Linked DNA regions of Astyanax mexicanus. The protein of the gene in region 1 interacts with the protein of each later gene in a pairwise test. Links are inferred from orthologs where the notes say so. Each region holds a gene or a part of one and is shown in the gene's direction. Other genes may lie near its edges.

What was found.
Region 2: the proteins of zcchc10 (region 1) and sfmbt1 interact in binary tests that used the Homo sapiens proteins (3 or more experiments, as listed by UniProt). The two-hybrid records come from large-scale screens. The link is inferred for Astyanax mexicanus from reciprocal best matches to the Homo sapiens genes ZCCHC10 and SFMBT1.
Region 3: the proteins of zcchc10 (region 1) and tfcp2 interact in binary tests that used the Homo sapiens proteins (3 or more experiments, as listed by UniProt). The two-hybrid records come from large-scale screens. The link is inferred for Astyanax mexicanus from reciprocal best matches to the Homo sapiens genes ZCCHC10 and TFCP2.

What each region holds. Positions count from the first base shown.
Region 1 is NC_064424.1:20,459,811-20,470,722, reverse strand, and holds the start of zcchc10 (zinc finger CCHC domain-containing protein 10), read left to right. Parts: upstream 1-6,321; 5' UTR 6,322-6,414; coding exon 6,415-6,455; intron 6,456-8,482; coding exon 8,483-8,644; intron 8,645-9,572; coding exon 9,573-9,617; intron 9,618-10,554; coding exon 10,555-10,804; 3' UTR 10,805-10,912. Other genes in the region: piggyBac transposable element-derived protein 4, read left to right, coding at 1,576-1,718, 3,135-4,917.
Region 2 is NC_064431.1:25,584,956-25,595,773, reverse strand, and holds the start of sfmbt1 (scm-like with four MBT domains protein 1), read left to right. Parts: upstream 1-5,344; 5' UTR 5,345-5,723; intron 5,724-10,818. UniProt on the Homo sapiens protein: Histone-binding protein, which is part of various corepressor complexes. Mediates the recruitment of corepressor complexes to target genes, followed by chromatin compaction and repression of transcription.
Region 3 is NC_064420.1:6,042,448-6,053,740, reverse strand, and holds the start of tfcp2 (transcription factor CP2), read left to right. Parts: upstream 1-6,709; 5' UTR 6,710-7,043; intron 7,044-9,005; 5' UTR 9,006-9,098; coding exon 9,099-9,220; intron 9,221-10,592; coding exon 10,593-10,744; intron 10,745-11,293. Other genes in the region: pou6f1 (POU domain, class 6, transcription factor 1), read left to right, coding at 690-858, 2,414-2,759.

The sequences.
Region 1 (10,912 bases):
CTTTGACTGGCATCCACATCGTTTGATTGTAGGTAATTATATTTACACCGTGTGCCAAAACAGACAATTCACGAATGCGCGCATCGCAGGGGCGTAGCAGCAATTTCTGGACCCTGTACACTCTCAATGTGAGTGGGCCCCTATCCATACCAGTACATTAGGAACGTGAGCGAAACAAATCTGGATTTTCATGGGCCCCTCTCCCCACTCGGGTCCTGGGTAGCCAGGTTCACTTTCCCCCCCACTACCACACCCATGCGCGCGTGTACGCCTATTTGCGTTTTTTTGCGCAGCTCCTCCATTTACGTAGGGACCTTATGCACGCTCTCATTGGTCTATAGGGTTTCTATATGTTGCAGGCGGAGGATATAGGCGAATCAGGGAGTATACCATGAAGTAATCTGATCTACACGCCATGTGGATAGGGAAAGGAGTCTTTCACAGGGAAAACTAATGTAAAGGGAAAAAATGCAATTAAGGACAAAAGCTTTGGGTCTATAGTGTCCTTGCTGAGGCGTGATGTGACGTTCTGGGTCACGTATAAACCAATAGGGTGTATGAATGGTATGTTTATACTTCTCATTGAAACACAATCAGTTTCACTCTTATTAGAAGTAAAGGATTAGAAGTAAAAAGTAATCTGAAAATCAATTAGCATAGAGTATTTTTTTTTCTGGCTCACCAGCTGGTCTTGAGCAAAAAGTTTTGGAGTGTGCATTATGGTATACATTGGAACCTCTGGCATACACCATCTGTACACTACGTTTTATGATACACTGTGGGTGTTTGATAGGGAGCCGTATAGGGAATAAAATATACGGTTAAGATTTCGTACATCACTAGAAAATAGCTGACATATCATATAGTGTATTATTTCTGTAAAAGGGAGCGATTCTGAACTCAGATCATTCTATAATTATGTCGGTTTTATCCCACAAACGAATTTCCCACCAGACAGCAGCATGTAAACATCCTATGATGTGGGATCCTCAAGTCAGGCACATCGAAATATTTGACGAAATATCCAACGCCCATGAGCGTGTAAATAATGGACAAATATTAAACATTAATGTGCTTTCTGTAAATTCATTTCAATAGTAATTCTCTTTTTAGACATCTGCATACTATGTATTATTAGCAATAATAGAAACTAAAAATAAAAAAGATACCCCTACATACTATATATTATTAAGCATTAAATAAATTAAAAATAAAACAATATGTTAAACAATATAAGTTTTTTCTTTTAAACCTCCCCCTATATACTATATATTATTGGGCATAAAATAAATTAAAAATAAAAAATTTACAAAAATACGATTTTTGATCTTTCCCTACATACTTTATATAATTGTTCATAAAAAAAATAAAAAAAATACTATACTATATAATATTATATAATATTGGGCATAAAAGAAAAAAATTCCAAACCCAGACAAATCACATTAAGGACGAAGAAACGTACCGCCCGCTTTAGGTCAGTCCATATTATTTTCAGTGTGTGTTTTGGGGGAAGTGGGTTTTGGTGGGGGGATGGGGGGTAGGTTTTGGTGTGACTGAATTCCAGCAGGAGCAATGGCGGCTGCAAGACCGCTTTTAAACTTTTCAGAGGTTTTAGAGGAGCTGTTCCGTAGTGATTCTGAGGTGGATCTGGAGAATAACTCTTCAGAGCAAGACTCTTTTGATTCAGATCAGGAGCGTTCAGATGCGTTTCACCTGTGAGTACAAATTCATTCATTCATTCATTCATTCATTCATTCATTCATTCATTTATTCATTCAGTAGCAGATAAATAACTGGTAAATTAGCTAGTGTTAGTTAACCTAGTAATTAATAAATATTTTGTAAAACAAAGTAAAAAAAAATAAAATTATATTAAGTTTTTTTTATTATACACTCATAAAACCATTGAATTGCTATGTTTTACACCAGATATCTACTGTATATTGAATTCTCCTAAGATTGATACACAATGCTATTTCTGGATTCCACATTTTATAGAGACCCCCTTAACAGGCCAGTATTTTGGTAATCAGGCAGTAATTTTCTGCCTGATATATCAAACCAACTTTACCAAGTTCTAAATCATGCATTACATCGTTTTACATTTTATTGATAATCTTAATTATAAGACAATAACTAAAACTGTCAGAAAATAATGAATAAAATCAGTATTTGTGATCTGAATTATTATTATTAGTTGGTGGAGTAGAGATTGAACGTGTTATCAAAGTGTCCTGTAGGAGTCTCCAAAGGCCTCAAAGATTTTAGAATGTAAATAACCAGAAAAAAAGGGTTTTGTATCACCTACACTACACTACATATTTAGCATGTTATATGTAAAAGCTTTATAATGTTGCTCATGTTTTAATGAGCCCTTTTATTAAATGATCAGCATGTGAAATCTTTTTATATTAACAGATGTAAATTTAACACACCATATATACAGTAGCAGTCAAGCGTTCCATATTTTTTCTCCCAAATTGTAAATGAAATCTGAAGTCATGCAGACTATGAAGGAACAAATAAGGAATCATGTAGTAAAATTAAAAGTGTTAACCCACTCAAACTTCCTTAGTGAAGCTTAGGTGGCTCTTATCTGGGGTGCTGTTAACTTGCAGTTTCTGAGGCTGGTATCTTTTGCTTTTCCTTTCCTGGGGTGGTCCTAATAAGGGCCAGTTTCATCATAATGTTTTTGATGGTCTTTGCAACTGCTTTGTTCTTTTCAGATTAACTGACCTTTTTTAAGTTTATTTTTCTTTACTTAGTTGAGTAGTTCTTGTCATAATATTGAAAACACTGATGCTCTCAAGCACATTAAGAGGGTAATGGAAGTTCAGCACTGCTGTTAACTGAAAGTCATTCCAGGTGAGTACTTTTATAAAGCTGACTAAGAAAATCCAGCCAAGATGTGCAGAGCTGTCATCAAAGCAAAGGGTGCCTACATTAAAGAATCTAAAATATAAAATATATTTTGGTTCGTTACTAAATGTTTTTCTTTATAGTTTGGAAGAATTTTAAATAATGAAAAAACACTAAATTTAAAGTGTGTTCAAACTTTTGACTGGTACTGTATATTATGGTCCAAATGTTTAAGATTAAATAATCTAATGTTATTTATTTATATATTTTAGGGAAGAAAGTGCTCCATCATCTGACTCCACACCCTCTACACCCTCTACCCCTTCCACCATTAGACGTAAACCCCCCACTAATATTCAACAGCCAAATGTGCTCTCTTCATTGTGTTCAAGTCCTTCCAAAAGACAGAGGAGATGCCTTGTGTATGAACAAGATCGGTGGCGCAGTAGAGATGAAGAAGATGTCACTCCAATTCTACACCCCTTTTCACCTGCCAGAACTCCTGGAGTACAGCTTGATAGCCACCAACAGTACACACCCCTCCAGCTGTTCCAGTTATTCATGAGTAGCTCAACAATCATAACCCTCTGCCAAAACACGAACAAATATGCAGCACAAAGACAGGAAAAAGGAATAAAGACACCATGGCATCCTGTGACTGACATGGAAATGTACCAGTTTTTAAGTGTGGTCATTTACTGTGGCCTTGTAAAACCATCCACGGTACGAGACCTGTGGAGAAAGGACAGACTCCACACCTTTCCATTCCCTGCTTCTGTAATTGCTGGTTACAGATATGAAGCAATCTTTTGGAATCTGCACATGAGTGACATCGAAGAGGATGTAAAGAATGACGGGCTAAAAGGCACCATCAAACACGATCGCCTTGGTCGTTTGAGGCCTCTCATGGATGACATTCAGATTGCATGCAAAGCTTATTACCAGCCTGATCAAAATCTGTCCATTGATGAGCGTATGGTAGCAACAAAGTCCCGTATTGGATTCAAACAATACATGAGGGACAAACCCATAAAGTGGGGTTTTAAGCTCTTTGTCCTAGCTGATTCTAAAAACGGCTACACCTGCGGCTTCAACATATATCAAGGCAAGTCTCCGTCACCTTCTGGAAAGGGCCTGGGCTATGATGCTGTGATGGACCTTTTGTCAGCTGCCTCTGTTGGTACAGGCTACCATATATATGTGGACAACTTTTACACCAGTTCCACTCTCTTCTGTGAACTACACAACATGAGGTTTGAGGCATGTGGCACCATCAGGGAGAGCTGCGTTGGCTACCCTAAACACAAAGAAAATGCTCTCCCAAAGAAAGCCAGCAGAGGGGACATCAGGTGGATCAGAGAAGGCCCACTACTCTATGTTAAGTGGATGGACACTCGTGAGGTCACAGTTTGCTCAACTATCCACAAAGCATATTGTGGATCAACAGTCCAGCGTCGAGTGAAAAGCAGAGATGGGACCTGGTCCTTGCAATCGGTCCCTGTCCCAGAACCAGTGAGGGCATACAACAGGTACATGGGGGGAGTCGATCTTTCTGATGCTCTCATCAAATACTTCAGCGTCACCCAAAAGACAATGAAGTGGTACAAGAAACTGTTTCTTCATTTTGTTGACATTGCTGTGGTGAACAGCTACGTCATTCATCGAGAGCTAAGTCTGGCCAAGCAACAAAAACCCCTCACCCAGAAGAAATTCAGAGAAGCCCTGTGCCTGCAGCTTGCGGACCTAGGGAGTGAAAGGGCCACAGAACCAGCAGCCTCTGAGCCAAAAATCAAGGAGGAGCCAATTGTACAGCCACTAGTGGAGGAGGCAAAGAAGAGGGGATGCTATCCTGTCCCAATAGTGGATCCCTCATTGGCAACTAAAAGAGAAAAATCATCAGTGGGACGGAGAAACTGTGCACTTTGTCTTCAAAAGAAGAAATACATGAAGACCATCTACAAGTGCAGGTCCTGTGATGTCCCTCTTTGTTTAATTGTAGACCGGCTTTGTTTTACTGAATGGCATGACATGAAAGATGTCAAAGTTGAACAGTGATCTGTCTGGGAGGATATGTAGGAAAAGGCTTTTTTTTTTATCTTGTTCTGATTTCGCACCTCATTTTAATAAAGACAAAACAAGAAGAGTACATTTCTGTGTATTTTTATTTTTGAAAGTGTGGAAGGTATCTTTCCCTACATTTCCCTATACGTAAATTATTTAATATGAAACATCTACCTAGTGCTCTCTCTTTTGATAAAACATGTATGTCTAAACCAAAACTTAGTATGAAAAGCACATCCTTCAGCACTCTCAAAATTCTACCAATAAAATAAGGAGCTACATTGAGCTACATTGAGCTATGCCCCTATCACTAGCATTATAAGCCTGTTGGGAGCCTCGGCTAAAATCGCTGTATTTTGGAATGCTGGGGGCAAACAAAGTGGGTTATTCAACAAATGCTTGTACTGGTTATCATGTTTCACCGAAAAATTTCACATTTCACACCTTTTATATGTGGTCCTAAATCGAATACGTAAAAGCTAATCTATATTTGTGAATGTAAACCGTCAAGATAGCTGAATGCGATCTGAGCAAAAAATCAGATTTGAGCAATGTGCCGAATGCGATCTGAGCAAAAAAATCAGATTTAAACAATGTGGCTTGTAATGTGAACGTACGAAAGTAACAGACAGCCAAACAAACAGAGCAGACAGCCATCAGGGTTGGCATTGTTACATTGGCCTCCAGATAAAACCAATGCACCGGGTAAAACATGTTTTAAATCAACCAATATGCAGAGAAAACCACACAAAAACAAAACAGCTGATGCATATCAACAGTATCACCGGATTTATTCCAACCTCATTTAATAAAATACTTTATCCTCCATATCACCAATTACAAAATAATTGTATTTAAAATTATTTTGTTTATCTGCATTTGTGTATTAAATGTGTGTTTTGTGTATTGTATGTTAGGGCACAAGAAAAAAGTAATTACAGTAATTGTAGAGTGAATATAAGTCTAGTGTTTTCTTAAAACTACAGGAAAGCTTATTATTAAGTACAGAGACACAGTTTAATCTCATGAATAATATGTTTATGAGCAGAAAATAAGCCTCGATCTCCACTGATTAAGGTAAATCTTAGTAGTTAATATAAATTATTTGTGTAAATGGCTAAAATGGGTAACAATGGATGTGCACATGAGTATAGTGGCTTGTCTTCATAAAAATGCAATAAACTTGCAAGCAATGAAGAAAGTGAATACTCATACATAATAACTAACACAAACACTGCTTTTTAAAATTTCCATCAGCAGGACTCGTAGTTTTGTCCTCCCGTCAAAGCACAGCGTTTCCTCCAGTCAATTTTAGACACAGCTCGACATTTGGTAAAAACTAATGAGGGAGTGGGGAGCCATTTCGCTCACAGCCTATGATTTAATAGGTTTGATTAAATTAGACCTGCGCGGTCTGCAGTTCTCCTCCTGTCCAGCGGGCGGCTCTCATTGAAATCGCACAGAGAGAATTCAGACAGACCAGGAGCTAGCATGGCGACGCCTATGCACAGATTAATTGCCCGCAGACAAGCGTAAGTTTTTCTTATATGAAACCCGCGTGGCTGTTTGAGTTAGTCTTTATTACATTTATCGAGCCACTAACCTGTAGTTTCACTAGAGACTGGACTCGCGTGGACCTCGACACATACGCAAACGTACAGTGAGGTCCAGATCCAGCGCGCTGTGTGTGTGTGTGTGTGTTTGTGTTTAAACACAGACCTTGCTGACCACACTTTAAACATTTAACCACGCAGCCTAACTAATAACTATAGCGGGAAGGTCAACGAGCTTAAACCACTGATATATTGCATTAATAACTCTTTTATTATTATTTTTAGAACGGCTCACACAAACCTTTAGCTATATACACACACAGAGCTAGTGAGAATTACTCTCGACCAAAACAGCCTGGTACCAGTGCACCTAGCTAACCAAACCTAACCTAGCTTAGCTTAGCTAACTTACGTTAACTAAAGATACTTCAAATCTGAGTTAAACGTTTTTGGTTCTATCTAAAAGACTCCATACTGGATACTATGGATAACTCATTCAACCATTTTGGCCATTTTGGCTTCCAAACTTCCAAACAATTCTTTATTTATATGTAATCCTAGCTAGTTAATAATGTGTATAAGTTAAATGTCTACTCAGGATACATATGGATACGTAGCATTCATATCTGTTAATGTACAGATATTTCCATGTATCAGCTCCCCCAGCGTTTAATTACTTTTAGTGCTTTTTTAAAATTTTACTATTCTTTACTCTATTTTTGTTTAATACTTGTAGGTAAAGAGCTTGTGTACTTGTTAGCTTACTATAACTACGTCATACGTGTTGCTTTGTACTACCAAGTTAAATTCATTGTATGTGTAGGTTAACATACTTGGCGAAAAAAAAGATATTCTGATTCTGAAAATCACACCAGCTATACAAGATCTGCAGATCTATAAACACGTTCTGACCAGTCTTATCACCAGGAAACAGATATTATAAATGTAATTTGCACTGTTCATACGTTACCATGGATTTACTTGAATTTACAGTCTCCCTCTCTATTTACACGGTAATATTACAGTCCAGTTTTCATTTTTCAAGTGATACAAGTCCTAAGTAAACTCATAATTACTGATATCTGTAATGTAGGTTAATTTATACCGGTGGACATAGCTCCAAAAGAGGTCACCTATGGGATTAATACTGGTAATAGTATCATATGTTAAGACATTCTGGTAGTATTGCTTATAAGAATTTCTAGTTAAGAAATAATCAAAATAAGAGTTACAACTTGTACAACTGGTGTCATTTTAGACTGAAAAGCGTTTCGGAAAATAGAGCATGAGATTCAGTCTTTATTAGTGGTAGTGTTGGACGATATGGCTAAAATGTATTTTACAATATGTCTTGATATTGGTAGATACAATATAATTTCTATGTTTATTTGAACAGTATAAAAGCCAACTCCTTATTTACATATGAAAAGAAGTGGCCGATATTGCAAAATATTATATCACAGAATTTATTGTAATTTGATTCACAGACGAGCACCAAGAGTGCCGGACAAAAAAAAAAAAAAAAAACATTCAACTGCTCTTACATGCATAGCACTGTGATTTTTATAGCATTTCTGCTGCACAGGATTTTATTTAACAGGATTTTTTACACTCTCTCATCGAAATGTACAGTTGGTTCAGTGTTCTTTCAGCAGTGATGATGGCATTTTGTAGATAAGATAAGAAAATTAATTAAGATGGAATAAAATATTGATTATACCATCCAGCTGTAAGAAGTGGTTACATATAACAATTGAAAATTACATGCCAATATATTTAGTCAGATTGAGGAAAGATCTTATAGTTCTTAGCTAGTGCTGATTTTCCAATATCTGGCATATTCTGGCATTGTACGCATTATACAAAGTGTTAACATTTGACATTATCATATTATTTTCTGTTCATTTAATGGTAATTTGTTGTCATTTTTCATTAATTGACTTTTTTTATCCTTATACTTTAACAACATGTTAATCTTTCTCCATATTCCTTTCTTCTGGCTGCAGGGAGGCAAATAAACAGCATGTTCGCTGTCAGAAGTGCCTGGAGTATGGACACTGGTCTTACGAATGCACTGGGAAAAGAAAGTATCTGTATAGACCATCAAGGACATCAGAGATGAAGAAGAAACTGAAAGAAATGGAAAATAAAGACCCCAGTGTTGCAGGGTATGTACTGCAGTCACGACAGGGACATCTTAGGGGTAACATCTTAAAAGCATCTTAAATTTTCTTTTTAGTGTAGTGCTTACTTAACCATATGTGGTTTACTGTGGAAAAATATACAGCTCTGGAAAAAATAAAAGATCACTTACAATGGGAGTTTCTTTGATTTTACCAAATTGAAATATAATCAAGAGGAAGATGGATGATCACAAGCCATCAGACCAAGCTAAACTGCTTGAAATTTTGCACCAGGAGTGGCAAAGTTAAAAAGCACTGTGTAACACTGGTGGTGGAGTACATGCCAAGATGCATGAAAACTGTGATTAAAAACCAGCGTTCAACCAAATATTGATTTCTGAACTCTTAAAACTTGTTTTCTTTGCATTATTTGAGGTCTGAAAGCTTTGCATTTGTTTTGTTATTTTAGACATTTATCATTTTCTGTAAATAAATGCTCTAAATGACTATTTTTATTTGGAATTTGTGAGAAATGTTGTCCGTAGTTTATAGAATAAAACAACAATGTTCATTTTACTTAAACTTATACCTATAAATAGCAAAAGCAGAAAAACTGATTCCGAAACTGAAGTGGTCTCTTATTTTTTTCCAGAGATGTATATATCTTTGTGTGGGAGTCTCAGTCCAGTTTAGTAGCAGTAACTAGGCCTAACTAGGTCACAAGAATTGTTATTGACATATTGAATAATATATAGACACAACCCTATTTTTTGTGTGTACTTTATTACAAGAACCAATATGCCTCTATTAGACCAGCTTATGTAATTTACACACTGTCTATTTACCTCGGCTATTTTTTGGCACTTAAATGAAATGTGTTAATTTCGATATTAAATAATTGGATCCCATGCACACTTTAAAATGTCATAAAGTGCTTAATCTCTAACCCCTGGTTTCTGTCCATTTGCCTTAGACATGGACCAGTAGCAGTAAGTGAAAAGAAGACAAAGAAAAAAAGGTACAGTGCTATATACAGAGTCTGCTCTGTATAAAAGATTGTGAAGTTATCATACTTAATTGTATCAGCCATATACTTTTATAAGCATATCGAGGCTCATCAGTGCTTGTTTGCTATGCATGAAAGACAATATTTTTACTGCTTCACTTAACTCTGTCAGAGCGCGATGACGTACACTAAGGAAGGTGGCTGTAGTGTTCATATCAATATCAGAATTGTATAGTATAAACCGAACAAAAATATTTATTGTGGTAAAAAAAATTGGCCATATAGTCCAGCCCTAGGTTCAAGTTAATAAAGTTATCTTAGGCCCAAATTAGTTTTTTGGCATGTCTAGATTGTATCTCATTTCATTTTTGATAGTCAAAAAACACAGATTTTTGCTAATTAAAACCAGAACATATTTGGAGGTAGTTTTAAATGAGATTCAAATTAGATTTGTGCAGATGTGTCTCTGTGGTGTCATCATAGGTCTTTTAAAATATTGGGAATTTAGCTTGACAGTAAGCAGTGCCTTCAGGTTTAAAACTTGAGGCTAAATTCAGGATCTTCTGTTTAAAGATTTAAGAGAGAGGAAGTGGGGAGGCGACTGGAGATCTGCAGCCAGATTCTTTTTATTCTTGATGCTTTAAATTTAGTTTTGTCATTAGTAAAGTACTTTATATTTTATTCTTTTTAAAGGCATTGCAAATTATTGTGTTTGCTATGCCCAGTGCTTTTTCTAATGCAGTTTTATTTGTTTCTACTTTTTGCACTTTGTTAAACTGCTAGACCAAGTTTATTAACCTGTCTAGATGCATCAATAAAAAAAAAACATTTATATTAAGAAAGGGGCGTACTGACCTAGCGTCAGCTCTTTCTGACCCAGCACTGTTTCATCGAAATACACATGAGCCGATATATTAAAGCAGCCTGTGTGTTTGTGCTGTGATTTCAGGTCCAAGTCCTCTAGCGGTTCCAGCAGCGGAAGTAGCGACTCTGACAGCTCCTCTAGTGACTCTTCATCAGATAGCAGTGATTCGTCCAGCTCCTCCTCCTCTGAGGACGACAGCAGCAGCAGTGACAGCGAAAACAGCTCCAGCTCGTCCTCCTCATCCTCCTCCTCCAGCTCTGACTCGGATTCCGACTCTTCCAGCGGCAGCAGCTCTGATCAGGGTCCTCCCAAAAAGAGGAAAAAGAAGAAATAAATGACTTGTCAGCAGTTTTTCAGTTTATAATTGTTCTGTTATGCGGACTGTACTGGTGGGAGGGATAAAGAAAAAAAATGAAGTTCCAGCTACTTTTTGAAGTTCATC
Region 2 (10,818 bases), on another chromosome or scaffold:
TGATTGAAATATTTCTTCTTTTTTTTTATTGACAAAATAGAAGTTGTGCCCATCCTGGATGAATGATTTAAAAAAAAAAAAGAGTCTTTTTGAAACCAAAGATCCTTGGTTCAATTCAATGAAAATGAAATGTATGATCATATTTTGTGTGTGGGCCGTGGGGATTGGTTTTGGGTGGTGGTTTAAGTGCGCTGCAAGTTCCAAAGGTTAAGAACTTTTTGCAAGGAATCTTTCATAAGATTTATAAGCATTTTAAAAGCACGTTTATATCTAAGAGTGTGATGATAGATGATAATGATACATTTTGCTAACCCAATACTGCCTAAATTAGCCTACTGCATCCTGTTTTCTGCCTTTTAAGTTACTGTTGCCTTTGTTATTTTGATTTTAGGCCCATTAATGATTAAATGATAAAGGAATGGTGTTTGTATGCCTAACCTTGATAGAAAGCTAGACTTTAGGCCCATTTTAGGCAGGAGATAAAGGAGATACTTCAGCTTCATCAGTGTTTTTTAACATGATCTCTGTTTGTTGTATCTGTACCATTTTGCGAGTTCCTAAATACATGTACAATATAAGGCAGTGACCAATCACTTCGGATTAGGCTGTAGAAGGCATTAGTATTTCTTTTATATTTCAATATTCCTTGGGCTTAAACTACAATTTCCACAGCAAGACTGAAACATGCTAATGCTAGTGTGAGGTAACATGTTCCTAGGTGAGCGTGAAGTTATGGTACTAGGTTCTCCTATAAATAGTATATAGTGGGTGGAGGTTTAATGTCGGCAGAAATTAATTCTTGAGATAAAGTATCTGTAATGTTAATGAATGTGTAGGTATTTTTTAAAAGAGTTATGATTATGTATATAAAACAAATGTATGTATATTGTTCCAAGATATTGTTATTATTATTGGGATGCTGAGGATGTTCCTTTTTTTTACTGTTATTATACTTCACAATTCAATAAAATGCATCTTTATCTCAGAAAGTTTGAGTTTAGTGGTCATTTACCGTGTTTTTGGCATTTTCCCGAATTTTACCAGTCAGGTTGTAAGAAGCAGTAAAGCCACTATAAGCGCTAGTTCTTTTGCTGTTCAGAGGTGAGTATTATCAGACTGTAGCCTGCTGCTAATCACGGCTAGCACTGTTGGAGCAACATTAGCATTATCTGCTAACCATGCTAAGCGCTAGCTCTTTCGCAGTTCAGGGGTGAGTATATCAGAGTGTAGCCTGCTCATTTACCGTATTAAAACAAGCTACGTGGGAGAAACCATTAGCTAATATCGCCCTGGCTTACCGGACAACTCCAGCTGCTTTTAGCTAACTTTTAGCTGCTCCCCACAAATAATAATTCTAATATTATAAAATATTTATGATAAATAATTCTTATTTAAATGTCAATTTCTGCACAGCCGGAGCACAGTACAGTATATAATAATGGAATACAAACAAGATACACATATTAATTTGTAAGTGAAGATTAAAACTAACCATACATATACATAAAATCATAGCGTTAAATCAATGTTAAATCAAAGTAAAATTGAGGTGCACAAATACAGCTCTGAAAAAAATGAGACCTCTTTGAAATTATGAGTTTCTTTGATTTTTCCAAATTAAAATCCTCTGGAATATAATAATCAAGAGGAAGATGGATGATAACAACCATCAAAGCAAGCTGAACTGCTTGAATTTTTGCACCAGAAGTGAGTAGCATAAAAAAGCATGGGCATGGTAGTGGGGGTTTTCCCACCTAACTACCCAGGGCCCGAGTACGGAGAGGGGCCCATGCTTTTTTTTATTTTTTTATTTATTTTTTTATGATTTTTGCGTGCTCTCTGTTTCCACCCGTGAGCTTTCCACCGGTTTTCTTCATTTTCCACACGTTTTCGTTTTCCGCCCGTTTTCGATTTACACCCGTTTTCATTTTTCAGCCGTTTTCGTTTTACACCCGTTTTCGTTTTCCGCCCGTTTTCATTTTCCGACCGTTTTCGTTTCGCATCCGTTTTTGTTTTCCACCCGTTTTCGAACCCACTTGGGCTGTGTGTTTATTTTGTCTCCTTTTATCTTGCTTTGAGATCTACTGTTCTGCAAGTTTGTTCTTTAACCTTCTGGGCTTGAGAGCTGCTTGTCTGTAGCACTCCACATGGGCAGGGTAGTGGGGGAAAGTGGACCGTCAGGACCCCAGAATTTGCTACGCCCCTGTCCAAAAGCAGTGGGTAAGACTGGTGGAGGAGAACATGCCAAGATGCATGAAACCTGTGATTAAAAACCAGGGTTATTTCATCACAAATTGATTACTAAACTCTTAAAACTTTATGAATATGCACTTGTTTTCTTTGCATTATTTGAGGTCTGAAAGCTTTGCCTTTTTTTATCAGCCATTTCTTTTTTTTCTGCAAATAAATGCTCTAAATAACAATATTTTTATTTTGAATTTGGGAGATATGTTGTCCTTAGTTTATAGAATAAAACAACAATGTTTATTTTACTCAAACATAAACCTGTATATATATATTTTTGTGTATTTATCTTGATGTCTATTTTGTTCTATTCTATTTTATTGTGTTCTTATTTTTATTTTATTTTATTTTATCTATATTTATCTATTTTAACTATTGCTCTTGGGTGCAAACTGGATCGTGAGATCACAATTTGGTTCTACCTCATGTACCACATGTGATGCGAATGACAATAAAATCTCCTTGAATCCTATAAATAGCAAAATCAGAGAAACAGATTCAGAAACTGAAGGGGCCTCTTTTTATTTTTCCAGAGCTGTGTATAAACAGAATATTCAAAGGAAAATGAACTGTAAACGCATAGACTACTGTAAACTGTACGTACATTATATTAAACAACGCATTCAGAGTGCTGGCGGTGACAGGTGGAAACTGTTGACTCTACCGCCACCATGTGTCGAGGATGTGAAGCTGCAGGATTAGGGGTTATTTTTGCTCTTCTTTGATTGACCTGTAAAGCCAGGGCATACAGTCAGTCAGACTGTGCTCACACTGTGCTGTAGAGCAGTTAAATCTACAGCTACCAGAGGAACCAATGTCCATGACACAGCATGATAAAATAAAGGGCTGGAAATCTGCTTGAAATCACAATGCTTAGCCCTGCTAACATTTTAACAATATACGTTGTGTCTTTAATGTTCTAATGATTTGCTAACATGGCCTATTTTATGGATGGATAGATTTATTTATTTATTTAATTATGCATATATGGTATGCAGAGGCAAAAGAAGCATGTGAGCCCTTTGAAATTTTGTGGTTTTCTGTCATAATATGTGATCTGATCTTCATCCATGTCAAGGGTATTGACAAATATAATTTGCCTAAAGTAATAACATCCAAAAAAATCATGTTCATTCATGTCTTCATTGAAAACAACCATAAAAACATCATAGTGCTAACGGAAAAATGTATGTGAACTATTGTGTTAACCCAGCTGACATTTCAACGTTGAATAAACGTTAAAACAACGTTGAATAAACGTTAAAACAACGTTGATCAACGTTGAATCAACGTTGATATAGCAACAATGTTTCAACGTCATACGTTCAACCTTTAATAAACCATAGCTCACTAAAATTAGAAAATCCTCTGGTTAACAAAGTGTTAACAATAAACTTACATCACTGCAGTAAATCTGAATATAAAGAAAGTTAAATTAAAAAGCAGTTACTGCAAATAGAAGTATAACACTTTTTCATTTCTCCATCCAACCATTTTTAGAAATTATATGGTGGTGAAATGTAAAATGTTAATTCAAAAGATAAGGTAAGGGACATTATGTTGATTCAACGTTAAAATTTCAACGTTAGCACAACCATTGAACATTAAATGTTGATTCAACATTGTTTCAACATTGAATCAACAACAGACATTACTTTAGTCATATTTCAACCACATTTCAACATTGAAGGTCAGTTGTGTGCCAGCTGGGAATGATCACCTCAAAAAGCTAATTAGAGTCTTTCTGGTTTGAAGGTGTGGAATAGAGCTATATAGTATGTATACGGCTCAAAAGCTTTAGAACTCCCTTTTATTTAGCAGTCTGTTATTTTATCATCTTACCAATGACTTTATTATTGCGCTTCACCTGTCCATAAAAGTAGTCAGCAGAGGGAAGCATGAAGTGCTGTAAGATTTTCCAGGAAAACACAGCACTGACTTTGGACTTGGTAATAAAACACAGTGGATCAACACCAGCAGATGACAGACATGTCTCTCCAAACCATCACTGATCATCAGTGAATTTTGCATTTCCTTTGTAAATCAAGGGAGCAGAGTCTGGAGGAAGAATGGAGAGACACACAGTCCAAGCTGCTTTAGGTCTAGTGTGAAGTTTCCACAATCAGTGATGGTTTGTGAACTTTTATGGAGATGGGGATTTCATTTTTCTGCAGGCCAAAAGTACCAATTGGTCTTATATAATATTCTAATTTTCTGAGACACTGGGTTTTGGTTTTTCATTGGTTGTAAGCCATAATCATTAATCACCACTCTGTGTGTAATAAACCTACATAATATGAGTTTCACATTTTATAGGTATATGTTTGAGTAAAATAAGCATTGTTGTTTTATTCTATAAACCACTGACAACATTTTCAACATTGTCAATTATGGATTTTATTTGCAAAAAATGAGAAATGAAATAACAAAAAAGATGCAGAGCTTTCAGAAAGTTCATAAATAAATATTTGGTGGAATAACCCTGGTTTTTAATCACAGTTTTCATGGCATGCATCTTGGCATGTTCTCCTCCACCAGTCTTACACACTGCTTTTGGATAACTTTATGCCACTCACTCTTGGTGCTAAAATTCTCAAGCAGTACAGCTTGGTTTGAGGGCTTGTGAACATCCATCTTTTCCTTGATTATATTCCAGAGGTTTGGTAAAATTGAAAGAAACTCATCATATTTTTTTTAAGTGGTCTCTTATTTTTTTTTCCAGAGCTGTATGTATATATGTATATGGTGTATTAGTATTATTATCATTGTAAATAGAAGCAGCTGAGTGAATGGCTGCACATAATACTTATTGTACATACTATAACTACAATAGTATACTAATGTACACACTTTTGTGTTGTTTTAGACAGAGACACTGTCCCCTTCCCCCTCAAATCCTCAGAGTCCTCAGCAGTGTCAGCTGCTCCTCCAGCAGCAGCAACTTGAAGCGCAGTTAAGTTATATTGTCAGACTTTAACACTATAACTTAACTGCGCTTCAAGTAACTAACTGAGCAGCTGAACCGAGCTAATGGCAGCAGCAGCAGCGGCAGCAGCTTTAGCGGGCGGAGAGCAGGCGGCGGCGTACGCACTGCAATGTTGCGCCCCTCTATTGGTCACTGTTTGTAGCTTATTAAAGCGGAAACGGGCCGGCTCGTGCAGTAAACCCGAGCTTTCCTGTAGAGCGCGTGTTCGTAGGGAGTTATCAGCGCGAGAGCCGCGTTATTATCTCGCTTTATTCGCTTAAAAAAAAAAGAGCCCGAGCACAACAACGTGGATGGGGAGGTGAGGTGAGGCGGCGGCGGCGCATGCGCGGTGGGACTTTGTGCCATATTGGAATGAGGTCGTGAACGACTGAAGGCGGAAAAAAAAGACACGGCATCTGAAACCGACTTGGAAAAAAACTCCTCAGCGGCGAGAAACGCTTCCAGACTTTATATTTGCACGTCGGAGAGCCCGAAGCACCGAACCGGACTGTCGGTAAGCGAATCCGCGGCGTCCTCGCCGTTTTTCCCGTCTCTAAAAAATACGAAAATATCCCCTTGACTTGAGCTCCACCGCTTAAGCTGGGTGACGTTTCAGTAACTTGACTTGGTTACGGGCGTTTTTAGCATGTGTGCAGACAGCCCGTCCACCGCTACTAGCTCTCAGCGGCGAAGAGAAAGCAGCAGATATATAATAGATATAATAAACCACTCTCTTTATTATATATATGTATATATTAATAACAAGCGCAGGCGAATCAGCGATCCCGGGGAATGAAAGTTGTGCTAAATGTCTGAAAACGCTGCTGCTGCTGCTTCCAGTGTTATACAGTATTATTACCCAGCAGCGCTAGCTCTCAGCTCACTCTGCACTCAGCCGCTCATTTCTCCAGTTTTCTTGCTTTTCTTTACATTAAAACACTGTAAACAGCAGCAGGACTCGCTCCTGGCCGCGTTGTGGTGTCGGTTGTTTTTGCTGAGAGCCGGAGAGAAAAGCTCGGCCGGTTGCATAAGAGCCAGCCGCCTGATGCCTGCAGTTCCCCCGCTCCTCTCTCTCTCTGAGCTCTGCGCTCTGCTTCACCTTCACACCAGAAAAAAAAAAATAAGAAACCACTTAAAAATGATGAGTTTTCTTAGATTTTACCAAATTAAAAACCTCTGAAATATATAATCAAGAGCAAACCAAGCTGAACTGCTTGGTTTTTTGCACCAGGAGTGAGTGGAATAAAGTTATCCAAAAGCAGTGTGCAAGACTGGTGGAGGAGAACATATCAAAATACATGAAAACTGATTAAAAGCCAGGGTTATTCCACTAAATATCGATTTCTGAACTATTTCACAGCATCTGTGTTACTGAAAAGCAAGAGTCTCAACAGTATTCCTGTATAGCTTTAATGTCTAGCATTAAAAATATTAAATACTTTGAATGAAAAGAGACTTTTACCAGATTTCACCACCAGCCAACTGTGTCCAACATCTGATAATTTAAGTAATGCAATTCAGTGTAGTCAATATTGGAGTAAAGTAGAAATGTCATGTCATGACAAATAAGAACTTATTTGTTATTTTTTTGTTTTTATATCAAGTAAACAAAACAAGTTTTGTCATAAAAAAACTAAAGGAGGAAAAAAAAATTAAAACATTTTATATCAAGTATTTTGTACTACTCCATTCATTATGCTGTGTAAGGGACAACTGTCAGATTGAACTTTAGTCAAAAATTGACAGCATTAAGTTTTTGGATTATTTTAGATTGTATCAGAATTTCATGATGAATTGAGCAATAGAAATATTACAAAATACACAAAAAAATTAAATTAAAATTTCCTACTCAAAATGTTGCTATTATTTAGAGTGAAAAGAAGTGAAAAAAAGCATTGCGTTTATTTTTATTTTTATTTTTTATACATAATATGAATCTGCTTGGAAATTAATGATTAATGGACCAATAGAAGAATGCAGACTTTTTCCTGAATTACCTGGATTCAAATATTTTTTATATTAACTACCATTGAAATAAGGAAGGTCTTTTTATTCTTATATAAACCTGCTTTTTTAAGAATCTGTGTAAGAGCAATAATATTAAAAAAAGGGAAAAATAAAAACAATTGAGACACAATGTTTTTGGTGAGCAGAAACAATACAAATACGACCTCACATAGAAACTTTATGAGGGGTAATTTCATGGGTTGTGAAATACTTAAATCACTTATATTATTGAATGTAATGATGCATCAGAACTATATAATGATGTAATGGAGACATTACCATGTGTAATGAGTAAAATCTGACTGCTTGGTTGGGTTGCTCCTTACAGGAATTGCACCTTGGTCTCTGGGTGTTAGCTAAGCGTTTATCTCAGGGTGCTCATATCTTCCCCAGATGTCATCATCTCAGGCTGGAAACACAACACAGCTTAAAGAGACACTGAGCTATCTCTACCACCCATCTATCTTCCTTACTCACCTGCTCTCCTCTTAAATATGTATATCTTGTTTGTTTTCTATCCTTTTATGCTGTTCGGTGGTCTTGTGGCAGATATATACCTGATATATGTACCTGTTAAAATAGGGTTAGAGTTTGGCAACTTTGATCAAATCAAATTGTATGCTATTTTCCAAACATATGGTATGAAATACTAAAAGATAATTAAAGATAATGTTCAAAAAATGTGCAATAAAACAAAAATGTATATATACAGCTCTGGAAAATATTAAGAGACCACTTCAGTTTTTGAGTAAAATGAACTTGCAGAAAATGAGAAATGGCTGAAATAACAAAAAAGATGCAAATAAAACAAGTTCATATTCATAAAGTTTTAAGAGTTCAGAAATCAATATTTGGTGGAATAACCCTGTTTTTTAATCACAATTTTCATGCATCTTGGCATCATGTTCTCCTCCACCAGTCTTACACACTGCTTTTGGATAACTTTATGCTACTCACTCCTGGTGCAAAAAAACAAGCAGTTCAGTTTGGTTTGATGACTTGTGATGATCCATCTTCCTCTTGATTATATTCCAGAGGTTTTCAATTTGGTAAAATCAAAGAAACTACAGGTTCTCACTATTGTACAAATTCCTTGTATCTCCATTTTCTTTTATGTAAGATTTTTAATTTGGAACATTTTTAACTATTTCATAAATTAAATATCATAAATGTATTTCTACGAAGGCATCTACAAAAATAAAGTTAAAAAATATTTAAAATATGTTAAAATCCCAGTAGACATACAAATAAAGCTCAGTGGTTTATGGCCTTTTCCCTTTTTATTAATACTTGGCAACCCTAATCAAAACCTCTACACGACTACAAACACACCAGTAATAATTGCTGCATAACGAACAGATTTGCATCCAATTTTATTGCACACAGCGATCAGATTACAGTCTTACTAACTGAAGACGCATTTGAATACCAAATGTGAATCGCTGTCCAATGAAAAACAAGTATCTCCAAAATGGTGACTTTACACGGGAAGGCCTTAAACTGCCTTAAACTGTGAATGGAAGTTAATGTAAAAAGTTTTAAAGGAGTTTTCATAAGTAATGTTGGAGCATTTCTATTCATTTACCGCATTGTATCGATAAATGATCGATAATCGATCATTTGACGCCACGTATCGATAATGTATCGCAAACATATCTATACAATATATCAGAAGATCGATATTTTGTCCCACCTCTAATATACTGAGTGTACTGAGTGGAGACCCGTTGAAGCTCTAAAGACTTTTAAGACCTAATGCTTTAATAATTAAACTTGTTTGTAAATGCTACTCTATGTAACTCATCTCTCTCATTCCACAGAGCATTTATAAAAATGTATAATTTATAGTTTAGAGGAGCCAAATTTCACAACATAAAGATAAAGCCTCAGAAAACAACGCTGAGCCATCCTATCAGTAAGGTCGGATTCTCTGACATCAGCAGCCTTGTACATCGCAGCCGCTGTTGCGTCAGTCACTGAGTCGTTTGGTGTGTGGTCAGTGATAACACCAGGGTTAGAATTCACAGGATGAGCTACCACCCCCTCCATCACCCTGACCGCAGATCTCTAACGACTGCGTATATGTTGACAACCTGCATCAATTGTGGCAAGTAGTTGGCTTTCCTGCCGTCCGTTGTAGAGTTTGGTGATGGGGCGGCAGTTAGTGCTGTGGAATGTGCTGAGAATTCCCTGCAGAAACTCCATACAGATCAAGAACATTCTCAATGTAGTTGTATACAACTCCATCTTATGTATATATTTTACTAAATACAGCTCTGAAAAAATAAGAGGGACCACTTAAAATTATGATTTTCTTTAAATTTAAACCTCTGGAATATAATCAAGAGGAAGATGGATGTTCTCAAGCCATCAATCCAGCGAGTTATCCAAAAGCAGTGTGTAAGACTGGTGGAGGAGAACATGCCACGATGCATGAAAACTGTGATTAAAACCAGGGTTCTTCCAGCAAATATTGATTTCTTAAAACTTTATGAATATAAACTTGTTTTATTTGCATTATTTGAGGTCTGAAAGCTCTGAATCTTTTTTGTTATTTCAGTCATTTCTCATTTTCTGCAAATAAATGCTCTAAATGACTATTTTTATTTGAAATTTGGTGAGAAATGTTGTCTGTAGTTTATAGAATAAAACAACAATGTCCATTTTACTCAAACATAAACCTATAAATAGCAAAATCAGATCAGTGAAACTTATTCAGAAACTGAAGTTTTTCCAGAGCTGTATAGGTATCATGGTATATCACATAATTTATTAGTTTATAATGTGATAAGAATTGTGAGCTGATAATGATATAATTACTTACAGAGAGGCTAGACACGTCGGTATAACTTTAGAAACTAATGCAACACTTACTGGCCTTACATTTTAGCTTAAAAGCAACTTTATGCAAACAAAAAAGAAAATGTGTCCCATGAAAATGAAAATTTGTTTTCACTTTTTTCTTTTTTTTGTCATTTTCTTTTTAGCTCATTTATGTAGCTAACTTTTCACTACATCACATCACTGCTTTAAATCCTCTATTTTTCAATTATTATTTTTTTATTTAATTATTTTCAGAAAAGCACATCATGTACAAAACTCACAAAGAACATTGTAAAAAAAAGTTAAATAAAACTATAGGTCTATTTAAACTAATAAACAATAATAAAACTAGCTTAAATCAATAAATAAAAAAAAGCAGTTATCGGCACATAGCAATATAATTATGATATTATTGCTCTGGTTGTAAAAATGTATTATTCCTGTCTTTCATGCATAGAATTAATGTAACAGTTTGGGAAGGGTCCCTCCCATTTAATACCCCAAACAATAAATGGAATTAATGAAGTTTCTGTGGTGCCAGTGGAATTCTGCACACTGCTAGTTTTACACAAACTACTTTCAACGTTCAGCTTAGGATAGACTTCCTAAGAAAACATAAGACTTATGTTTAGATAGATGTGCAGATCTTCGCAGACAAGAAAAGTAGATATTAAATGGTATGGATTTTTGTATCACTGGCAATATAATTTATGATTTTAATAGAGTTAAACATATACAGTAAATCTGTACACATGCCCATTTTTCAGATTAAAAGCTTT
Region 3 (11,293 bases), on another chromosome or scaffold:
TTTAATGTTCAGGACCCCACAAGAGAGAAAACCACCACAGAGCAGCTATTATTAATATTATTATTATTATTTGAGCTTTTGCATTACATTTAATAAGCTTGAAATAAATGTAATTATGTAATACAGAATTTGAATTTTAACAATGCTTTTCGTAGTTTGGCATTGTGAGGTGAGAGAATTTGCTTTTGAAAAAAAAAAAATTTCAAAATAACAGATTAAAACATTTAGATACATCCATTCAAATGTATTTGATTGTCAAAAATTCTCAAATTACTGGAACATCTCATAGATTTAAATTCATGGATCTGAAGTTATTTTTAAATGTATTTATTTCTAAAGCAAATTTCATTACCTCATAAGTTAAAAACACAAATACAGCATTGTTAAAATAAAAAAAAAAATAATTACACAATTAATTATGTTTATTAAAAGCCAGGTATATTTTATTCAAGAATACAAAATGCTGATTCAAATACTTGTCAGCATTTAAGCCACATATGTCCTCAAACATTTGGACATATACTATTTCATATATCGTGTACCTTTAGTTAGGTCCCTGGAGATTATAAGGGGTTAAGGGTCAGTTCCTGGACAGGGTCAGAGACTATATTTTCCTTTTAGTGGAAAAGTGTCGTAATCTCTGTTTAGGAATTGGCTTTTAAGTGTTTTTTTATTTGATTTGCACACAGAGCCACAGTCTGGAGTGAGTGAAGAAGAGGGCATTAACCTGGAGGAGATCAGAGAGTTCGCCAAGAACTTTAAGATCCGACGGCTCTCGCTGGGACTGACCCAAACACAGGTCGGCCAGGCTCTCACAGCCACTGAAGGACCTGCTTACAGCCAGTCTGCAATCTGCAGGTCAGTGCCTCCTTTACTGCCTCTCTCTTAATACTGTCTAGGAATTAACCAAAATATACAGTATTGGCTAAAACTGAAACCTAACAAAATGAAGTGTTTAATTTTGCTGCTTTTTCTCCCTATAAATTAATTAACCTAAAAGTATTTTTGTGTTGCTGTTAAATGTTATACAAATATGATACAGTGGTAGCCCAACATGAAACATCATGAAATCCTAATAAATTATTTTTACAAGTTGGAGTAAAGAATGCAGGATGAAGTCTGAGAGAGGAAATAGGATAAAGGTAGATTAAACTAGCCAATGTAAAGTTAGATATCTAGGTTTTACAATTAAAATGAACTTTCACACTGCCACAAAGCATTGTTTAGTTTTCTTTAGGTGCCACTTTGTGCTACATAGTTTTTACGCTATCCCATTAAATTAGAATCAGCTGCCAGAGCCCTAAGATAACACAATTAGTTGCTCTCTCTGTGTGAGTAGATGGCACTCTCTCCCCACATCACTCCAAAGGGTGATGTCCTCAGCACAAGGCATCTGTGAGCTGATGTATCGTAAACGAGACGATGCGCGTTCCTCCGAATGTGTGCTGGCTGCTCGGCAATGGTTGAATTATGACTGGGAGTTTTTGTAACGCTTAAGGCTAAAAGGCCTGCCCTTCAACAAAAAGAGCCAGTCTGCTAGCTGCTTATGCTGTGAGAGGGGGAAGAGTCAGGGTTTAATGAGAGAGCCCCACCCACACCTGGATCAAGCGCAGCAAGCGCAGCAGCCAGAACAACCTGAAAATGATTTTTTTTTGTGCTTTATAGAACCAAATGTTCTAAACTAATCAAGGGGTCAGATCTTATAATTGATCTTAAATATGTTTAAATCTCACCTATTTAAACAGAGAGGAAGCTGGTCTTGTAAGAGTAGATATAACCGGAGAATCTTAATAGAGAGGAGAATACTATGTGGATTAACTCCCAGCGCTCGTTTGACTTTAAAATAAAGTCTTTTTAATTACAGCTTTGTTTACTTAGCTTAACTTTACTTAACTTAACTTAGTTAGCTAACCCCCATCACCACCCAGTGGCGAGACCTGCTGAATTAGTTTCTTATAGTGTCTCTTAAAATGTGCTTTATAATCCAGTACACCTTATGTATATTAAAAGATTAGAAAATAGTTGTTTATTGATGGTGTACCTGGTTTGCCTTATAATGCAAAAAATACAGTACCACTTGAGAATCTCTTTAGGATTTGTTCCTCCACAGTCCCAAATGAATGGGTTCAGTCTGTATTGGCCAAAACCAATTTACTGTAGAAAAATGGACTCACATTTAGAGAAAAACAGATTAGCTTTTAGATTGTTTTTAGCTGTTTAGCTCCATTTACCCCATTCATTTAGGACTCATTCACAGACCCCTTTAGGGTTCAGCAGTCAATTGCTAAGAAGTGAGTAAACCGGCTGTGTGAAACTGTGTATAACTGCCCAGTGGCTGCAGAGTGAACTGAATTGCCTATAAAGACTTTGCTTTTTCTCAGGTGTTGTTTTTTAATCCTCTTTTACCCCTCAGGTTTGAAAAGCTTGACATCACGCCGAAGAGTGCTCAGAAGCTGAAGCCTGTTTTGGAGCGTTGGCTGGCCGAGGCCGAGCTCTGGAATCAGAAGGGGCAGCAGAACCTGATGGAGTTTGTCGGCGGGGAGCCATCCAAGAAACGCAAGCGCCGCACCAGCTTCACCCCGCAGGCCATCGAGGTTCTGAACACCTACTTTGAGAAAAACGCCCTTCCTACCGGCCAGGAGATCACCGAAATCGCCAAGGAGCTTAATTACGACCGGGAGGTGGTGAGAGTGTGGTTCTGTAACCGCAGACAGACTCTGAAGAACACCAGTAAGATCAACGTGTTTCAGGTGCAGTAAGGGAAGACTCTGAACTGTTTAGCGTGCAATACGAGACTGAAAATACGGAATAACGGACCTAAACTGTTCTTTTGTACTGTAACTTTAAAAAGATGGTGCTTTTTGTGTGTGTGTTTTGAGTGTCTAAGGTAGTGCTCCTGTTTGATGGACTTGATGATGGATTTAAATGCATGAATGGTCGATCTATGGACGGAGTAGTACAAAATATGCTCCTCTAATTTTCTGTATTTTTTTTTTTTATTACTCTGCATGAGGTACTCTCATTTAAAACATTGACCACTGATGAAGCTTCAGTGAGAAATTGAGCAATTTGATTTAATTCAATATGTAAATAGGCCTGTCATGATAAGTTGTTTTTGGAAGATATATTGTTGTAGAAATGATTTAAGACATTTTATGCCACTAATATATTGGCAGTGCTGTAGCATAATAATTCATGCATTTACACTGCATTTGCTTTTTAGGAGCAATGGACTTTTAATTACTAGGAATATTCATTGGAATTGAAATATATAATATAAATAAAAAAAAATGAAATAAATATAAAAAAACAAAGTCAGTGTAGCAGCTGAGCTGATTTACTTAATAAACATTTTTGACTGAATAAAACGACACAATAAAGTAAACACATTGAGTAATACTGAGGGCAGCAAAAATGATTTGTACAATAAGTCTATAATGTATGTAATTATTGTGACAGGCCTGTAAACTGTAAATTGTAAATTTATGTTACTGTGGTCATCTTTTTAAATACCTTAACATTACAATAATACTGTAAATAATACTTTTATAAATCATCACCATATACAAGCCCCCTAGTTATGGTTCTATTAAAAATTTAACCAACATCAGTAGTAGTACAGCACAATCTCTGATATAAATTTACAGTTTTCTACTATTCATAATCATAATCTGCTTGTGCAATATCATTTACAGCCGAGGACTGAGATTGACATCAGGTCTACACTTCCAGATGTTAAAGACTGTTGGTGATGTAACATATGAGTGTATTTTGTACATTTTTGTTTTCCAGCTCTATGGTAGCTCCTGCAATCCTCCTGTATGGTCATTGTCCGTCTGTCTGTCTTTCTGCGGTGTGTGTGAGCAGTGTGTGATATTGGACAATCATGGTATTGTGTGGATCAGATTATCAGAGTATGCCCTTTACTGAAGTGGCAGAATCCACTGTATTCTGATTGGGCTGGATAGATGTATATGGTTAATATGGCAGTGCACACTATAGGTCTATTGTTTTAAATAGAGAATTTACTAAATCTTACAAATCGTTAAAACTGCAGTGAGATAAATGTGAAGTTAAATTTCTATGGATTACTGTTACTTTATAACTACAATCTTGCCAAAATAATAGCTTAGGTAGGTCTGCGTTACATAAATGATCTTTATAATGTGAAAGTCAGCCTCATATAAAGACATACATACTGTAATGTAAAATGGGAATATGGATAAACTTTCTTTAAGTGAAGTTGCTAGCTGAAGAACAGTTTGATTAATGTTGTTTCTGGGTTAAAAAAGCCTCTGGGAAGACTTTATGTAATATATATATAAGGTGTATATATTTAACTTTTTGTGTAACCCTCAACTTGGGGGTTATGTGAAACATTTAGCAAATTTTAAATAGAAAATGCAAAGCAGGAATATGATAAAACACTCCTCATATATCATCAAAATGCACTTTTTACACCTCTCTGAGAACTGGGTGGGCGTAGTCATAATTTTCTAATGAGTGTGCGTGACTGACAGCTGTCTATCACTGGCGAACGAAGGTTTATTTAAGTTCAATTTAAGCTCTCAATGCACACAATGCACTAAGATGGTTGGTAAGCGACAGCTCACCAACTTGCCAGTTCTGGTTGCTCAGACTCGAAGAGAGAGGGCGGAGCTATGTTAACTTTGGTTAGAATTGGTCATGGTTCCCATGGACCCACTTTTAGCCCCGCCCATATCACACCCAGAGGAGAGTGATAGTGGTGAAATACATAACATTTTTAATATGAGATATTAATAAGAAATACTTTGTATATTTACACTTGGGACCCTGAACAAATCTCACATATAGCTTCCCAGAGGCTTTAAACCAACACTTTATTATGTTACTGTTAATAAAAGGTGTAATCGTTTCGTAAGGGATTCAGAACATTGATTTTTTTTCTGTTTATTTCTCAAAGCCTTAACATGTTTGTGTGTGCAGTAAATATTCAGCATGTATTTAACTATCCACAAATATCCACAGAGTCCTGTGTGTGGTGACACGACAAGGTGTAAAGGTCATAGGACAAAAAGCAACTGCTTGGAGTTTGTAAAGTTGCGTGTTCTTGTTTTGTTTGTGTTTCGTCTTAAAACTATGCCGTTATGAATTTCTGATATTCATAATGGGCTCATTTCTGTGTCTTTTTTACTCTTTGGAAGAAGCTTCTCCATTTGAAGTTGAACTGATCAAGATTTCAGCTTCATTGCATTGTACATAACTACAGTCCAATTTAATTATATTTCATTTACGCTATGTTTTAGAAACGTATATTATTATTCTAATTTTTAATAATATTATTATTAATATTTGTTTAGTGTCTTTTGAATAACAAGCCTGACATACCTGAGAAATCCAAGTAAATTATATGGACATAGTGGATACATCTTTTGTGTAACTTTTAATACTTCTCTCAATAAACTCATTTAAATCAGACACAGTTGCAATAGTTCTTGTTCTGTAATGTCACAAATACTGTGCATTTCATTCAAAAACATCATACATTCAAAAATATATCTATCTGTAAGGGGACAGTGATGTCAAAATGTAAATACATTTGAAATCAGAAGTTTACATACACTATATAAAAATAGATATATAGTTTTTTCTCACTGTCTGATCTTAAATCAGACCAAATGGTTTTAAATCAGGATTACTAAAAGGTTTTATATATATATATATATATATATATATATATATATATATATATATATATATATATATATATTATATTATATCTATACATGTATTTGCAGAAAATGAGAAATGGCTGAAATAACAAAAAAGATGCAGAGCTTTTAGACCTCAAATGTGCATTATAGAAAACAAGTTCATATTCATAAGAATTTAAGAGTTCAGAAATCAATATTTGGTTGAATAACCCTGGTTTTTAATCATAGTTTTCATGTATCTTGGCATGTTCTCCTCCACCAGTCTTATACACTGCTTTTGGATAACTTTATGCTACTCACTCCTGGTGCAAAAAAATCAAGCAGTTCAGTTTGGTGGTTTGATGGCTTGTGATCATCCATCTTCCTCTTGATTATATTCAAGAGGTTTTAAATTTGGTGAAATCGAGGAAAAAACATCATCATTAAGTGATCTCTTATTTTTTTCAGGTGACATCATGTAAAAAAAAATGTGTAAGGTGTGGGAACGAGATACAAATGCTTGGGAATTAGATAATTAAGGCATGGGAATGAGATACTAATGCGTAGGAACGAGTTAATTAAATCAGGCCGGAGAATAATAAGGCTTGCTTTTCTGTAACTTAATGCTCATGAAGAAACTGAATATTAGATCATAGCTCTTTTAATCCAGAGATAATATTTTATAAAAATAAAATGGAGAATGAATTGATTTCTTTTTATTTTAATCTCTAAATTAATTATGGTAATATTTTGGAGTGTCTTGCAGAGAGATATAGAATAATTCTTATACTAAAAGCTGATTGGCTCAGATGTAGACAGTATTAATAAATACTACAATTAAAATATTAAATAGGCCAGTTAGGTTGAAAAAATAGAGAGTTATTTTGATATAATATCTTATATTATATGAGAGGAAATAACGTTTCCTCCCTTATAAATAATACACAGTACTCAGTGCTTGTAATTTAGAATTTCTCCTGTTATCGCTGCGCTGCTTTAAGCTCCGGGGCTGCAGGGGGCAGTGCTGCAGCGCTGCTCTCCCGCGCTGAGGAAGAGAGCTGCGGATATTACAGCAATACCTAAAATCTAGAGAATCGAGCAAATAAACAAACAGGAGTTTTCTGTCTTAAAGGTCTGCTGCGCTCTTATTTCCCTCTGTTTCGGGTGATTTATGAGGAGTAGATATTATTCCGCGGGTATTGGGGGAGTTTAGAGGCTTATTTCGGTATTAAAAGCTCGATCTGACAGTTTGGTGAGTGTTGTCCGGAGAGAGACGAGCTGAGAGAGAGAGAGTCCGCCGAAAAACGGATTAAAACCATGGAGAGAAACAGCCGCCGCTCCAGCCCCGACACCCGCTCCTAACCCGGGGTGAGTGACTGACACAGAGCCGGGGGTTTACAGCGGGCTGAGTACAGGAGAATACAGGGGTTTATTATCATTAATATACAGAAATAAACACCATCACTCCTTCAGCTGCAGCACAGAGACCATGTTAGAGCAGGAGCTGAAGTTTAAGAGGAGCAGGCTGGCTGGTTTGAGTTTGAGTTTAAATTAAAGGATTTAATTTAATGTGATTTTTTATATTCATATATTCTGTATCCTCCAGGTCCTCAGCTCTGTGTAGCTGCTGTTACCGGTGTAATGATCATAAACTCGGGTTTAACTAACTTTACAGCGAGTCTTAACACCACGGAAATAACAGCAGCAGTTATCTAACTAGGTTAGGTTAACACTACACTGGAAAAAATAGGGAAAATATAACTTAGCTGTTATTTAAATTAAAACATATATGCTTATTTTAAGCAACTTTTTCTTAGTAAGATTTTAAAATAAGTGAACAAAACATTAAATCACTGTTTTTTGGTTTAAAACCAGAATATTTAAGAGTATAGCAAAAACATTAGTTTTTTTTGTAGGTTATTTTGTCTTTAACCAAACATAAGGCCTCAATTATATGTACAAGTGAACACACTAATAACAATTACTTGTCCAGTAACTTTTGTGCTAATTATGAGTTTAAATGATTTAAAATAAGGTGAAAATTGTAACCTAAATAAGACTGATCAATCAACTAATCAACCTTTATTTAAACTCATTTATACTCATACCCATAGTATTGCCCTCATGTATAATGAAGTACATAGTATGTAGGGATTGTCAAAGAGAACAAAAGACCCAGCATTTTAACAAGATATTATATATATATATATATATATATATATATATATATATATATATATATATTAATATATATATATTAAGATAGAAAACACAGAAGATCAAATAAATTTGTAAAAAAGGGATCATAAATCATAGGTAAAAAAAACAACAACGAAGGTAATAAAATAAAAAAGTAATCAAAATGCAACAACAGATGATTAAAATACAACGTAACATGCAAAACAAAGTAGAAGTTGAAGTGTTCCTTAAGTACAGCACTTAAGTAGACATACTAAAGTACTCAAGATTTTTGTACTTAATTAGTGCAGGTAGTTTATACTGAAATGTACAATTCAAGCACTGAAAGTAAAAGTACACCACTGTGTTACATAGGTTAATACTTTAGTGGAGTACAGATACAGCATTGTAGTACTTGTAGTACTACTTTATTTTTTTTTTATCAGGGTAGACAAACAAACGCACACACTGTTTATTTGGATAAAGTTTAGCACATTTAGAATAAAATCACACTATTTAATTCGCTTTTTTTTTATCTGACGCTACTAATGCATTTTCTCTGTGTGTAAAAATATGATAAATATTGTATCTTGTTAAATTGTAGTGTAAATATCTGGATTCACTGTTTATATTAGTACTAAATAATCTGGAATCTGGAGAGTAAGTTTTAACTAGTTAAATGTAATTCTAGATTAGAGAGAGTAATGCAATGATGTAAATCAATATTAACATAGGACTATTCAGAATTGATATAGAATTGGTAAATATTTCATGATTGATATCTGAAAAGAGTTTTTTACATGTAAAACTGCAGTACAGAGGTCTGTAGTTAGATTATTTTTGTTTTTACAAGTAAAACGTCAGTGAGTTAGTGTCATTTGGTGTCATTTTAGGCTGAAATGGCTCACATAAAAAATGAACTATTTATTTACTAGGGCCTGGCAATATAAAAAAAAAAAAAATATTGTTAAATATTTTAAGAAATATATTGCTAGTAGAAAAACACATAAATAAATAAATACAACAGTAATGGCAATTTTTTTTTCCAGTTTAGGGACGACTAACAGAAAGCTTTGGGATGGTTGTAAAAAAAAAGTTAGTTTAGAGACTGACAGTAGTATTTAACCTGTTGTAACTCCTCCTCCCGCGCAGGTGTGTGTGAGCTGCCCAATCAGTCGCAGGTAATCGAGGTCAGTGCGGTTGGCTGTGGTCAGTCGGACGTGAGGTAGAGCTGAAAGCTTGACGATGGCGTGGGCTTTGAAGTTACCCCTCGCTGACGAGGTGATCGAGTCCGGGCTGGTGCAGGACTTCGACGCCAGTCTGTCCGGTATTGGGCAGGAGCTGGGAGCTGGAGCCTACAGTATGAGGTACTGCATTAGTGCTGATTATATATGAGGGGTTATTTATATATACAACTGATTTTAAAGCTGTGTGAGTGGCTATTTAGCTCTTTTGATTTTATTTTAATTACATAGTAATCAGAGACAAGTTATAACAGTTATTTTAGTGAGTGCTGGATAAGAGTTCAAAATTTTGTGTATAATTAATTACCTGTAGTTTGGTAACAAATGGATTGACAAGTTTAAATAATAAAAAAAAATCTTTCTTGTTGTGTTTACACATCAGTAAATGCAGATAGTCATACAGTATCTGTGGTGTTTCATTGTTGGGTATGCTGCAGTATGTAGTATGAAAATAGATGGTTATCATATTCACTAATATGATGTACCTTTACTAAATACTGATATTTAAATGCAACCATATTTTACAAAGAATTTAAAAACCAGACAATCAATCTGTTATCCATAATTAAAAAATAACAATTAGCTTGAAATAAAGTAGTAAAAAAAGAGCTTTACTTCCTGTTGAAATTTCTATTTATTTATTTTAAGATTAGAAACATTTTACATAAACTGTTTTAAAAGAACGACATAAGTTTGTATTCGACTAAAATATCCTGTTTTCATTTCAAGGGTCAATATCTAATAATAATAATAATAATAATAATAATAATAATAATAATAATAACAAAAAGGAATATATACTGTTATACAGTAAAACCATAATATTTTTTAGACAGTTAAATAATTGTTTGCTTATGCTTTATAATTTCATTATTTATTTATGTTAAGTGATAATGTTTCTACTGAGAAGTGTTTTGGCTTTTTCTCCAGTAGTTATTGTAAATTGTGATATAAGAAATATAAAAAAAAGCAAAATATGAGGATTTTAATAACACAATTTGATTATTAATAGTTAAGGGAATGTAAGCAGTGTTATTGAAATTATCATCTTTTATCAGTAATGTCTCATTAAGGTTAAGTTCACACAGCAGATAAAAGTGCCCCATATCTGATGTTTTACGTTGTGTGTAATGCACATGTGTTTTTTGTGGCAGTGTGAACAGCAATTTTGGGTGATAAGCTCAGCTGTTGCCTCAGCTCATTCACAGCTCTTTAGATTCTGAAGGGATGAAACCGAAACTTCATGTACAGACTGTTCACACCATTAAAAAGATTTTGTGAACAGACATAACAAAAAAAACATCAGATTTGGTGATAAAATCAGATTTAAACCACGTTTATACCTGCTGTGTGAACATAGTTTCTTCTTTATAAAAGGCTGTATGATTCTGAATATGGGAAAGTGTAATGTATTTACAGATCTTAATTTTGTTTTCCTCTCTACGGGTTCTCTCTTTCTCTCTCTCTCTCTCTCTCTCTCTCTCTCTCTTTGCAGTGACGTTCTGGCTCTCCCCATCTTTAAACAAGAAGAGTCTAATCTGCCTCCCGACAGCGAAAACAAGATCCTTCCTTTCCAGTATGTTCTGTGTGCTGCTACATCACCTGCTGTCAAACTACATGACGAAACGCTCACCTACCTCAACCAAGGTCTGCTCATTCTCTTCCATTCTATATGAATATAAATATTAAAGATTAAAAAGACAAACTTTAAATTTAGTATATTTATTAAGTAAAGTATATTTGTGTTTGGATATAGCCTACTAGGGATGCACATTGATATTACAGTCATATCAGTATCAACAGATAATTGCTTATATTCAGATGCACTGACAACCCAATTTTTCGTACAATAAGGTGCATTTAAAATTCTGAAATTTTCCCAAAAATTATCATTGTGCCTTATAATCCAGTGCACTTTATGTATGAATTTTACCAGTTAGTTTTTAAGTAGCAATAAAGTTCTCCTGTGATTAATTAAGGGAATGGTACATGCCTTTTGTCTGTTGTCTTTGAGCCGCGCAAGTGTACTTTTCCAGTCGTTACGATAGCAAAGACAACACACTGACACACCCTGCTTGCCTATAGATCACTAAAATAGGACCCTGTATGTCCACATTTTTCTGAATAACACTTCTAATAAAAGCAACCAGCTTCTTTAGGTTGCACACATCGCAGATAGCTACCTACATGTACGTA